3 linked regions of the Nothobranchius furzeri genome follow. The protein of the gene in region 2 purifies or fractionates together with the protein of the main gene of each other region. This does not show direct contact. Links are inferred from orthologs where the notes say so. Each region holds a gene or a part of one and is shown on either strand. Other genes may lie near its edges. The genes, in order: ap4m1, tepsin and isca1.

Evidence for each region.
Region 1: the proteins of tepsin (region 2) and ap4m1 purify together in Homo sapiens (co-immunoprecipitation; 3 studies listed by BioGRID and IntAct, with this or other methods). This does not show direct contact. The link is inferred for Nothobranchius furzeri from reciprocal best matches to the Homo sapiens genes TEPSIN and AP4M1.
Region 3: the proteins of tepsin (region 2) and isca1 purify together in Homo sapiens (co-immunoprecipitation; 3 studies listed by BioGRID and IntAct, with this or other methods). This does not show direct contact. The link is inferred for Nothobranchius furzeri from reciprocal best matches to the Homo sapiens genes TEPSIN and ISCA1.

What each region holds. Positions count from the first base shown.
Region 1 is NC_091750.1:26,790,746-26,794,396, reverse strand, and holds part of ap4m1 (AP-4 complex subunit mu-1), read right to left. Parts: intron 2,620-3,651; coding exon 2,553-2,619; intron 2,337-2,552; coding exon 2,283-2,336; intron 2,214-2,282; coding exon 2,107-2,213; intron 1,622-2,106; coding exon 1,530-1,621; intron 1,086-1,529; coding exon 1,041-1,085; intron 1-1,040. UniProt on the Homo sapiens protein: Component of the adaptor protein complex 4 (AP-4). Adaptor protein complexes are vesicle coat components involved both in vesicle formation and cargo selection. They control the vesicular transport of proteins in different trafficking pathways.
Region 2 is NC_091756.1:28,830,972-28,835,121, reverse strand, and holds the start of tepsin (AP-4 complex accessory subunit Tepsin), read left to right. Parts: upstream 1-1,320; 5' UTR 1,321-1,398; coding exon 1,399-1,437; intron 1,438-1,694; coding exon 1,695-1,767; intron 1,768-2,052; coding exon 2,053-2,144; intron 2,145-2,221; coding exon 2,222-2,315; intron 2,316-2,407; coding exon 2,408-2,475; intron 2,476-2,556; coding exon 2,557-2,638; intron 2,639-4,150. Other genes in the region: ndufaf8 (NADH dehydrogenase [ubiquinone] 1 alpha subcomplex assembly factor 8), read right to left, coding at 915-1,073. UniProt on the Homo sapiens protein: Associates with the adapter-like complex 4 (AP-4) and may therefore play a role in vesicular trafficking of proteins at the trans-Golgi network.
Region 3 is NC_091757.1:56,837,518-56,841,702, reverse strand, and holds the start of isca1 (iron-sulfur cluster assembly 1 homolog, mitochondrial), read right to left. Parts: upstream 2,904-4,185; 5' UTR 2,891-2,903; coding exon 2,792-2,890; intron 944-2,791; coding exon 890-943; intron 1-889. UniProt on the Homo sapiens protein: Involved in the maturation of mitochondrial 4Fe-4S proteins functioning late in the iron-sulfur cluster assembly pathway. Probably involved in the binding of an intermediate of Fe/S cluster assembly.

The sequences.
Region 1 (3,651 bases), on a different chromosome or scaffold from region 2:
GCAAGCACAACTTCCGTTTTTCACAATAAATCGATAAACAAAAAGCGTTTTTTGTTTCATATGCACATGTTTAACAACGTTTAACAACTATCAATGTCGGCTGAAGTTTAAATGCACAAAAGTAAGCCATAAATACAGTTTCCACTATCAAAGTAGTCACACTTTGTTGATCCAAACACAGCTGATCTCTCAACACAAATGACGGGCAGATTAAACAGTTCATGCCGATGCTTCTCCCACACAACGGGTGTTTGGATCTAACTTCCGCGTTTATTGCTCGGACTGTATCGCAAGATCTCGAAAATCCCGCGCAAGCTTGTTTGCCCACCTCCGATCTCCGCACCGGAGCAGAGCCGTTATAGAACGGGTATAGTATAATTTGAGTTCGGAAGCGAGCGGCTGCGGAAGGCGGGGGCGGACTGGAGCGGAGGTAGTGGAATTTGGGGTAAGTCGAGAGGCCCAGACTTCCCTCTCCCCAGCCACTTGCGCCAGCTCCTCTGGGGAAATCCTAAGGCGTTCCCTGGCCAGGTGAGAGACATAGACCCTCCAGCGTGTCCTGGGTCTACCTATAGGTCATCTCCCGATTGGACGTGCCCGGAATATCTCACCAGGGAGGCGTACAGGAGGCATCCTGACCAGATGCCCGAGCCACCTCAACTGGCTCCTCTCGATGTAGAGGAGCAGCGGGTCTACTCCGAACTCCTCCCGGATGACTGAGCTTCTCACCCTATCTCTAAGGGAGAGCCCAGCCACTCTGTGGAGAAAACTCATTTCAGCCGCTTGTATCCGTGATCTCATTCTTTCGGTCACTACCCAAAGCTCGTGACCATGGGTGAGGGTAGGAACGTAGATCGACAGATAAATTGAGAGCTTCGCCTTCTGATTCAGCTCTCTCTTCACCACGACAGATCGGTACAACACCCGCATCACTGCAGATGCAGCACCAATCCACCTATAAATCTCACGCTCCACCATAGTTTGGAACAACTGGACTGACTTAAGCACACCTACCGAGTCAGCAGAATATAGTTGGGACTGACCTCTTAGGTGGTAGATCACAGCGGAGCTTCAGGTACATCAGCAGCCTACAGGGGGAAAAGCTTCATCACTCATTGTGGACCAGGAGGCTCCAGAGGCTCAAACATTCAAATCAAAATCATTTCTAAACAACTGAGTGTGTGAGTCTGTGTATAATATTATCTTACACCATGTAAGTCATCAGCATCCCATCACAAAACCTTTAGCTTGTGTCAACGCCAGACAGACAGACAGGTGAGTCTGGTAGCTCCATCAAGAGAAGGAGACAGGTGAAATATGCAACAGACGGGCTTCGTCAGGACGCCGATGAGAGGAGGGAAAAAGTGAAGCGGACAGACTGAGCAAGATGGATTAAGGCCTGCAATCATGGCCATGACATTCTGATGTATGTGTGGGTGCTGGCCCCAGCTGGTTCTGGTCATCTCTTGTTTAATCATATCTGCATGATGTCAAAGCAGCTGGATGAGTCCAGACCAATTGTTGCTGGTTACCTCCCAGCTGCGTCTCTCTCCACGGTCGGGAAGAGACGGAACGGCGGCACCGAGGGGAGGTCATCACACAGCTGGTACTGCATCACCGTTTGCTGAAGGAGGAGTAGGGAGGAATTAAAATGAGCACTTGCATTTTCTATTTGAGGGCAGCCAGTTAGAGGAGGAGGAGTCATTTAGAAGAGGAGGAGCCAGTTAGAGGAGGAGGAATCAGTTAGAGGAGGGGGAGCAGTCAGTTAGAGGAGGGGTAGCCAGTTAGAGGAGGGGGAAGCAGTTAGAGGAGGGGGAGCCAGTTAGAGGAGGGGGAGTCAGTTAGAGTAGGAGGAAGCAGTTAGGGGGGGGGGGTCAGTCAGAGGAGGGGGAGACAGTTAGAGGAGGAGGAGTCATTTAGAAGAGGAGGAGCCAGTTAGAGGAGGAGGAATCAGTTAGAGGAGGGGGAGCCAGTTAGAGGAGGGGGAGTCAGTTTGGGGGGGGGGGGGGGGGGTCAGTCAGAGGAGGGGGAGACAGTTAGAGGAAGGGGGGTCAGACGAGTCAGTTAGAGGAGAAGAAGCCTAGAAAGTAGAGTGGAACAGGTTGATACCTCTCCTTGACTCGGGCAGAACCGGAGAATTCTGTGGCTGTCAAACTCGTCCAGTTGAACCATCTGATGGAAGCTGCACTCGTCAACTCGGACCGCAGCGCCGTAACCTGAACAGATCTGCTGATCAGAACCACACCCGATAGACCAAATGTAGGGGTTCCGTAGCACAGGTTTACCTCGAAGCTGTGATTTCCCGATGCTGAACTCCTCATTCAAACCAATCCTCATCTCTGTTGACACAGGAAACTTGTGTTGGAATCAACCAGAACCCGTGTTAGAATGGACCAGAACCCGTGTTAGAATGGACCAGAACCCGTGTTAGAATGGACCAGAACCCGTGTGGGAATGGACCAGAACTCATGTTAGAATGGACTAGAACCCGTGTTAGAATGGACCAGAACCCATGTGGGAATGGACCAGGACACTGGACTCGGTTGTAATCTCACCTGAACAGCTGGGCATGTAGCATTTGACTCTGACCTCTCCTTCCACGTCGGCCTTCATCAAAACCCCCTGCAGCAGAAAGGGTAGCCATCTTTTTACTTCCTCTTAGATCATTAAATGGCCAAGGACCTCTGTATATAGCAGAGATGTTTGAAACGTACCGCCCTTCAAACTCACAGGTCAGCAGATCAATTCCAACAGGTACAACCCAGAGCCCGCACCAAGCACGGAGAGGCCGCCTCTAGCTGCTATGTGGGCCATCTCCGGAACTGTCCTCCAACAGACATAAAGACCTCTCCCACATTTCCATTTTAAATTTAGATTAAAAACCAAACTTTTTCATGACGCCTTCCATTGACCTACCTGTGGTCTACTAGGTCTTTACCTATGCTGTGTTAAATGTATTCTACATGTATTTTAGATGTATTTTAGATGTATGCCCATATTGTGATGTTTTATCTTTGTTCTATATTTTAAAGTAAATAATTTGACTTAATATGTTTTATTTTTGTGTATTTTGTTCTGTGTAAATATTGTTTGATTTTACTTTACACAGCATGATGTGACATTTTAACTACTTCATTTACCTTGTGATTGTTTAACTATGTGAGGCACATTGGGCTACCGTTTGTGTGTGACATGGGCTATATATGGGCTTTCTCCCTATCCCAGCCTGGGCAGGACTGTGACCGGTGAAGGCCGTGGAACCGTATCTAGGATCCAATATGCTCTCTAACCCATTATCTCCCTCCCCGGGCCAAATGGAGGTGATGAGCGCTGCTCTTGCGGCTGCACGCCCTGAAGTGAGGAGAGTCCCAACCCTACCTCCCCACCTAGTGGACACTTATGTTGTGTATCGTCTAAAGTCTGTGTGCATATATGTCTGAGGTGGTTTTTGCATAGCAAAGCTATCCTCTCTGTCGGGGGTAACTCTGAAGTGCCTTTTTTTTCCCTCCCCCTGCCTCTGTCCTCATATAAACCCTCTTGATCTATAACAGTAGTGCGACTCGTGTTGTGAATGACCACAGTCACCAATTCTTGTCATGTGTCTATGTATGTATGTCTGATCTCAGAATTGTGTGTACTGAAACAATTGAATTT
Region 2 (4,150 bases):
TGCAGCGACTTCTCTAAGGTGTTTCTGTCATTCAGCTATATCCGTTTCAGCTCAGCTTGTTTTCTTGTTCAGGACGGGAAACGGGGGTTTATTGCGCTACAAATGTTTAATATTCAAAGCTACACTTCAGGAATAGTACTGAGCAGGTGTCGGCATGTTTGCAGGCACTCGGAGAACAGCCTGGTGTGCACTTTAGGACATCCTCAGGTCTCAGACATCAGACAATAGAGGACAAAAAATCTGGTTTCATTCAAAAACCCAGACGTCTAATCAAATAGCATCAGACGAAAAGGTCTCAGGAAAAAAGTCTGTCTGATGACACTAAGTAGTTTTTCTTTCTCTGTGGTCTGATGTCTGAGGACGTCCTAAACACCAAACTGGTGTCGCGAAAGACATCAGATTAAATAAAGATTAAAGTCGTTTTCTCTGACTGATTGGAGCATCATCACTGTTGATCAATTTCCCTCTGGGATTAATAACGTATTTTTGAATTGAATTGAAGTTCCTTGTCACACCAACCTTAAGTCACCATCCTGACACCATGATCCAGGTGTGGGGTTGGCAGGTGGACAAACAATTCACCCCTCACCTTCTGACTGATTAGGAAGATCATGGACTGTCTCCAGTCAGGATTTGAACTTAAAGTCAACAGTCCAGATGTTGACTCTGCACATTATGGTGGCTGTACTGATCCCTCCTCAGTAGCAAAGCGTTTATGCATGTGTATAGTTTAAAGGGTAGATTAATCTCAGGTTTTAGGACAAATTGATTCAAAGTATTTTACAGATTAAACGTGTCTAATAAATAAAGCAGAGCTCTACGGGGCATTTTAAAAACAATAAAGTTGAAGACTTAACTTTCCGTTTAACAGCAGGCGGTCTAAATCCTCTGAACCTGCCTTTATGAGAGCTCACCTCATCCGCACACTGAGCAAACACTTCAGAGAAGAGTCGCAATCTCTCCCGGTTTCGACTCCACACATTATTAGACCCAGACATGTTGCGCATCAGACAGCAGCAGAGGAGTCCTTTGTGTTGTTGTATTAATGAATGGTGAAAAATATTGTTTGTCATTGGTTTAAATGCATTACAAAAAACCCCAAAAACATCTTAAAAGCAATCGGGTAAGTCACCGACAGCGCCATGTTGGTGTTTCCTTCACAAAACTACATCCGGGTCAGATATTCCTATACGTGATAGGCTCGCGTACTTGTCAATCTAAAGAAAACGTCGGAGGTGGTGGGAAAGCGTTATTAAATTTAATTGGCTGTTTGAATCGAGCTGAAAGCCAATAGAAATAATTGCTGCTACTGACTAGTTCGTGATTGGCTGTCAACTAAAGTCCCGCCCTCCTTTAGCAGCAGGAAAATGAGTAACCTGCAGCTTGGTTTGCTAAATCATGGCTTCATTTATGGAACGAATAGCTTTTCTTCAGAAAGTAAGGAACATTTACATACATTGTTAGTTAGAAACGCAAATAATATCTAAGAAGACTCTGACAAGTGAGACGTAACGCTGACGTGTCTGTTTAAATCTGTTTTAGCTAGCTACTAGCTAACATCAACATTACTAGTCTCATTGGAAATGTTGGGTTGTTTCTTTAACGTTAAGTCATCCTGTAGTTATTTTATGATGTTTTACAATTAGCCAGTCTTCTGGACACATTTATCTAAATATTAATTCCTTTAATTGAAGGTTCCCATCCTGATGAAAGCTACAGCAGATGATGAAACGCCCTGTCCTGGCTACGTTTTCCAGGAGATTGGCAGTATCCATGTTGGCATTGATACACCTGTTAATGTGTATATACACATACATATATAATCATATAAATGTCATTGTTATTATCTGAAACCAAATTAATCTACTGCTGCTTTATGTGTACTGTCTTGTCAGAAATCAATCTGAGTCTTGTTTATTACAGATGAAGGTGGATTTGTAAATCAGGCATCACACCAATTGTTCATTCATCTCAGATCAATGTTATGCAACAGCAAAGTGAAAAGGGCTGTTATAGTCTGATTATCTGACTTTAACAGTGAGCATCTTGCAGAAATCTGCCACGAGTCTTTAGGTTATGGTCAGTGTTTGTTGGAATACCTTCTGGAGAGGCTCCAAGTCGAGTCCTGCCATGTTAAACTAAAGGTGAGAGCTACTAATCTGTAGCAAACATTTTCGATTCCTCTGTGTGATTAATTCTCATCTTATCTCTTGTGAACCAGGTGCTAAAGATCTTCGTCCATCTCTGTGGTCATGGATCGAAGCCTTTCCTCACGGAGCTCAGAAGGAATTCCACCTTCATCCAGCAAGCATCAGGTGAGATTAGAGCACTTCATCTGCTTTCCATGATGCTGGAACAGGGTTATAATCTCAATATTAACACTGCTGGATGGCTTTTCTTTTATTAGTTTACAGTGGTCCCCCTGATCCCATCCATGGCACAGCACTTTACCAGAAAGTGAGAAACACAGCACAGGTGAGGCACTGAGGTAAATCTTTCAGGTCAGTGTTAACAGCCTGACAGCATCTCAGCAACCGTTTGGCTTTTCTTTTACAGGAAGTGGCTCGTTTACTTTTCACAGATGCAGTTTCTGTCAAAAGCAGCATAGCTCCTCACAGCATAGCACCCCCGACTATGGGTGAGTAAACATATATGCTGGGATGTTGATTCAGAGTGGGTTGTTCTTCATTTTTAGCTGTTTTGGTAATAATGAAATTAACAACTGAGGTAGCAACCATGAGACAACGCCTCAAACAGGAATGGTTTTGCAGGTGGAGGCGCCAGACATTTTCTCCCTCCTCATCTTTTTTGACTGCTGCTTCTCAGGAGTTTGCCTGGGGATCAATTTTACTAATAGTAGTGTCAGGCCATTCCTACAGAGCTTGCACTGGTAGTCCTGCTCCATCAGGAGACAGTTAGGAGTGTTGGACAGGACCATCAAACAGGAATGATAGTTTGATGTTGGGTCCATGTTATTCCAGAGAGACATAACCCTAGTGAAACACACAGACCTGTGCAGGATAGATGATGGCGCCCTGGTTGTCTTCAGAATCAGGATGGAATCCTTAGACCCTTTGCCGGTGCAGTGGGTCCTGGGTTCGTGGTGCATGAAAATGCCCGGCCGCATGTGGTAAAAGTATGTAAGCAGGTTCTGGAGGATAAAGCATCGACTGGCCTTCACACGCACCTGACCTAGATTCAACAGATCATCCATGTGACATCATGTGTATGTCCATTCAACACTACTAGGTTGCACCTCTGGGAGCTCAGTGATGCCTTGGTCAGGATCTGGGAGGAGAAACCCCCAGACACCAATCACCACATCATGAGGAGCATCCCCTGACGTTGACCATTCTGAGCTGCTGCAGTGACATTCCTTACATCTTTTTTTCACTTTTCCATATTTCTCTTGAGCATGTGGGCGGGGCAAAAGACGCACGGAAAAAGTCTGTGGTGTCTCCCTTAAACAAAGGCCATGCAGCTCGAGGCACGGCAATGCTGTGTGTGTGTGTGTGTGTGTGTGTGTGTGTGTGTGTGTGTGTGTGTGTGTGTGTGTGTGTGTGTGTGTGTGTGTGTGTGTGTGTGTGTGTGTGTGTGTGTGTGTGTGTGTGTGTGTGTGTGTGTGTGTGTGTGTGTGTGTGTGTGTGTGTGTGTGCATACGCTCCTCACAGCATTGAAACAGAGAGCTGCCGCAGCTTCAGTCAGAGGCGACCAATGTTTACGTCTCAGCATCCAGAATACTGAGTCGCACCTGCGGGAAGCTCCCGCCGGTTCGTTCTATCAGCCAATTGGAAGCTCCCCTTAACGCTGGGCGTGTATTTGAACCGGCCAATCAGTTGGCATTGGGTGTGTTGGACCTGTTCAGCTTGAAACAGACCGCGTTGATATGTAGGCCAAAAAACTGGTCGAGCATGGATAAATACACGGCCACCTAGATGTGAACACTTTAAAGCTACCCAGTCCGGTCCATGCTGGCCCAGATGTGAAAGCACCATATGTCTCTTGGCTGGTCAGGAAACACCTTAGGATTCCCATGGAGGAGCTGGCTCAAGTGGCTGGGGAAAGGGAAGCCTGGGCCTTCCTGCTTGGGCTGCTGCTGCACGACCCGACCCCAGCTAAGCGGCTGAAGAAGGATGGATGAAACTTCTGT
Region 3 (4,185 bases), on a different chromosome or scaffold from region 2:
ACGCTAAATCAACAACAGCCTTCCTCGTCAAGATGGGTGAGTTCATGAATGTTGATGTGTCGCAGATCCGACTGGCTTCTCTATTCCAAGTGTCTCCCTGTATACTTTCCATCGGCAGCTAATGTGGGAACTAGGGGTAGAAGACTATTTTGACGTTCAGCCTGCACGTTAACCTCAGAATGACTGATTGTATTTCACAAAACTGGCTTTTCATTGAACTTGCCCTTTAAGATATTCACTGCCTAAAAACAGGGTATCTGCAAGTTTAAGGGAGCCAAATTTAAGACCTTTTAAGACCTTTTTTAAGGCCACTTTGACCCAATTTAAGCTATTTTTTTAATTAAATTTAAGCTATAATGTCCAGCTATTACCTGGAACCAGTGCTAACCATGTGGCGAACGTGGGATTAGCCATCCAGTTACCATTAATGTTGCACTTCCCCATGGCGCAAGCTCCCGCTAGCTTAACCAGCTAATGTGCTCATCTAAAAACAGCCCCCTTTCACAACCAGCTGAATGTGTACGGTTCCGCTTACGCCAACTTCGTACACAAAAAATGCTGAACTAGAAATTCACGAAAATTTTATAGAAATAAAAGAATTTTGTTTAATGGGTCTTTGGTAATTTAAGACCTTTGGAAACTATTTAAGGATTATTTGTCATTTTTAAGGATTATTAAGGCCTTAAATTTGGAAAAGCAAATTTAAGACTTCTTAAGACTTTTTAAGGACCCGCAGATACCCTGTAAAAAATGATCTTAAATTTTCTTTTCTTATGCATTTTACAATATCCATGTGGTTTTTATTAAAAGTGTCAATAAGTTGGACTCAAACATCACAGTAAAAACAAACTGTCCTCCAAATGAACTTCAGTGACTTTTAATAACTCACATATTCTGGTTTGTCCTGAAGCAGCGATCTGATTTTGCTCACAGCTGCTGGAGACTAAAGAAGAAAGAAGAAAGTTAATCCAAAGTTTTAAACCAAGCTTCAGAGTGAAGTGGATTCAAAACGAAGCTTTTTAAACCTGAAAAATCTGTAACTGTATGTGACAAACGTCAGGAAGAAACAGGAACATAGCAACAAAATGTGTTGTAATGGATGGTGTTTTGGTCCCTTTCACACATGTGATGCAGAGGCTCTGTAGCTGGTCTGAAACTGAAGTTTAATAAAAAATAAATAAATAAAAAACTTGGAATTATAGTTGCAAAGAGAAAAAGAAAGGTTCGGCTGCAGCTGGAAGGCATTTGAGAGCGATACTTGGCTTCAAAGTGTTAATCCCTATGAGATTAGCATTTAACGTCTAATGTGCTGCATAAATAAAAATTGTTTTTTCTTTTGTCTTAAGTTGAAATTTAATGTGTGTAAAATAAATGAAAGAAATCCAACAGAAGTGGTGTTACAAACACGATCCCTGTCGGTAATTACAAAAGAACGACCCTGACCCCTTCTGTCAGCTGTCCCCTGCTGTGTGTGGAGTCGCGTCTCATTACGTAGTCCTTCCTTCAGCATACTACTGTTATCTGCTCCGGCCACTACATAAACACATTATCGCACAGCAGCAGAGTCCGTCAGCTTAAATTCCTCATCAGCACTTTTTCAAACCGCCCACCTGTTAACAACAAAGTGAGTGGACTGACAGCTCACACTGTTTACTGAATAAGCTGTCATAATATTATCAATGCATTTTAGTTGAGACAGAAATTAGATGTGAAATGCCTCAAAGGGGCAAAATTCTGTTTAATTCAGCTGTCTTCATTTGATTTAGTGTTAATTTAATATAACCGAAGACTGGTCAAAAACTGAGTAACATTGCTTTAACATAAACTATTTTAATGCTGATCATTTTAGTCTACAATTTATTAGGTAAAACCTATAAATTAGTATATGCTTGCACTTGTTTTAAATAATCAAGGCCATATCAATAGCACAATACCTTTTTTCAACAAAAGTTGTGCATAATGAATGTCAAATGCTACATTTATAATTTGTAGTTAATTATTTATCAATCAAAGTTATAGCTCGCTGTGCAGCATAGCTGCTGCAAAACAGGTGTCAGCTGACACTATTTTCTTTAAAAGCACATGAAAAACGACTGTGCAATTTTATTTGTACTGAAGGAAACGAGAGATACCGTTCCTGCCGCGCGCTAGGCAGGGCTTTCCCTTGTGAGATGTTTGTTTACAGTCTGTAGAAATGACGATGTTCTCTTTCTGACCGAACCTCAGCTTCGTTAGCGTTCTTGCATTATTTTGGTTCTAATACTAAAGTTAAAATCAGCAGCACTTTACTGCATGGTGGCGCAGTTGGGCCGCATGGTGGCGCAGTGGTTAGCACTGTTGCCTCGCAGCACGAAGGTTGCAGGTTCGAAACTCGGCTGCGGCCTTTCTGCGTGGAGTTGCGTGTTCTCCCCCTCACCTCCGGGTACTCCGGTTTCCCCCACAGATCACAACATGCCCTATAGGTTATAGATTGTAAGTCGCTTTGGATAAAAGCGTCTGCTAAATAAATACATAAACATAAATTCAACTGTCACACTTATGAAAGCTGTCTAATATGCGTTTAATCTAAAAGAAATCCTTAACCATAACAAGAAAATGTACTATGACAGGCAGGAAGTACGCACTACGTAGACGTTAGAACAGGATTGTTAGCTAGCTAACTGACTTAGCCAAGGTACACAATTAGTAGCACTAGATCGTGGATGCTGGATAAATACCGCACCTTAGAAACATATACGTACAAAGATTAAATGTAAATTATTTTCATATTTTATTAAAAGGATGAACTTACGAGCGTTAGAGCGGCTCTTGTAGGTAATATCTTTCTTTTATTGACCGCTCTGACGGTCGCTCGAACCAAGGAGGCAGACATGTTTACTGTTAAAATCATAACATAGAATTGCGCATGCGTGAGACCAAACTGGTAACGCCTCCTTGAAGCCAGTCGATCGGTGATTGGCTGATATTTTGATAGACATGTGAAACAGCAAATGAGATAACGAATGAACGTCTCGCCCCTCTTTTGTTATATAACCTTTTTATTACACTTGTGTTTACAAAGTCGTTCTTCTCACTTAGTTAACGGCAGCCCTGTGTATTTGTTTTTTTTTAAACTATTTAACGATTCCACCTTATCTTTAAAACGTTGACAGCAGACTACTTTCTCTTTGTATTTTTAAGCCATATGGCACACACTGTTTTGGACTTTATGTTCCCGTTGCCTCCTAATTATTCCTCAGTCACACCCCGCCCCCCTCCAAAAAACAGAGGAAGGCATCTTCAAAACGTGCCAGGATTCTTTTCATTAACAGCTTTTTATTTAAAAGTTTCTCTCGAAATATCTTTCCTAGAATTTTCATATTATTTCAGGAAAAATGTGAATGGAACCAACTCAGCAATCTAATAAATAAACAATTATCTTGCTAAATCTTCTAAAATATTCCCTAATTGCTTTAAATTGCATTAATTGCTTTAAATGACTGATATATATATATATATATATATATATATATATACATACATATATATGTGTGTGTGTGTGTGTGTGTGTATATGTGTGTGTGTGTATATGTGTGTGTGTGTGTGTGTGTGTGTGTGGGTGTGTGTGTGTGTGTGTGTGTGTATATATGTGTGTGTGTGTGTGTGTGTGTGTGTGTATGTATTATATATATATATATATATATATATATATATATATATAGATGGATAGATAGATAGATAGATAGATAGATAGATAGATAGATAGATGATAGATAGATAGATAGATAGATAGATAGATAGATAGATAGATAGATAGATAGATAGATAGATAGATAGATAGATAGATAGATAGATAGATAGATAGATAGATAGATAGATAGATAGATAGATAGATATAGATAGATATAGATAGATAGATAGATAGATAGATAGATAGATAGATAGATAGATAGATAGATAGATAGATAGATAGATAGATAGATAGATAGATAGATAGATAGATAGATAGATAGATAGATAGATAGATAGATAGATAGATAGATAGACAGATAGATAGACATATAGATAGATAGATATAGATAGATAGATAGATAGATAGATAGATAGATAGATAGATAGATAGATAGATAGATAGATAGATAGATAGATAGATAGATAGATAGATAGATAGATAGATAGATAGATAGATAGATAGAATTGTTTGTC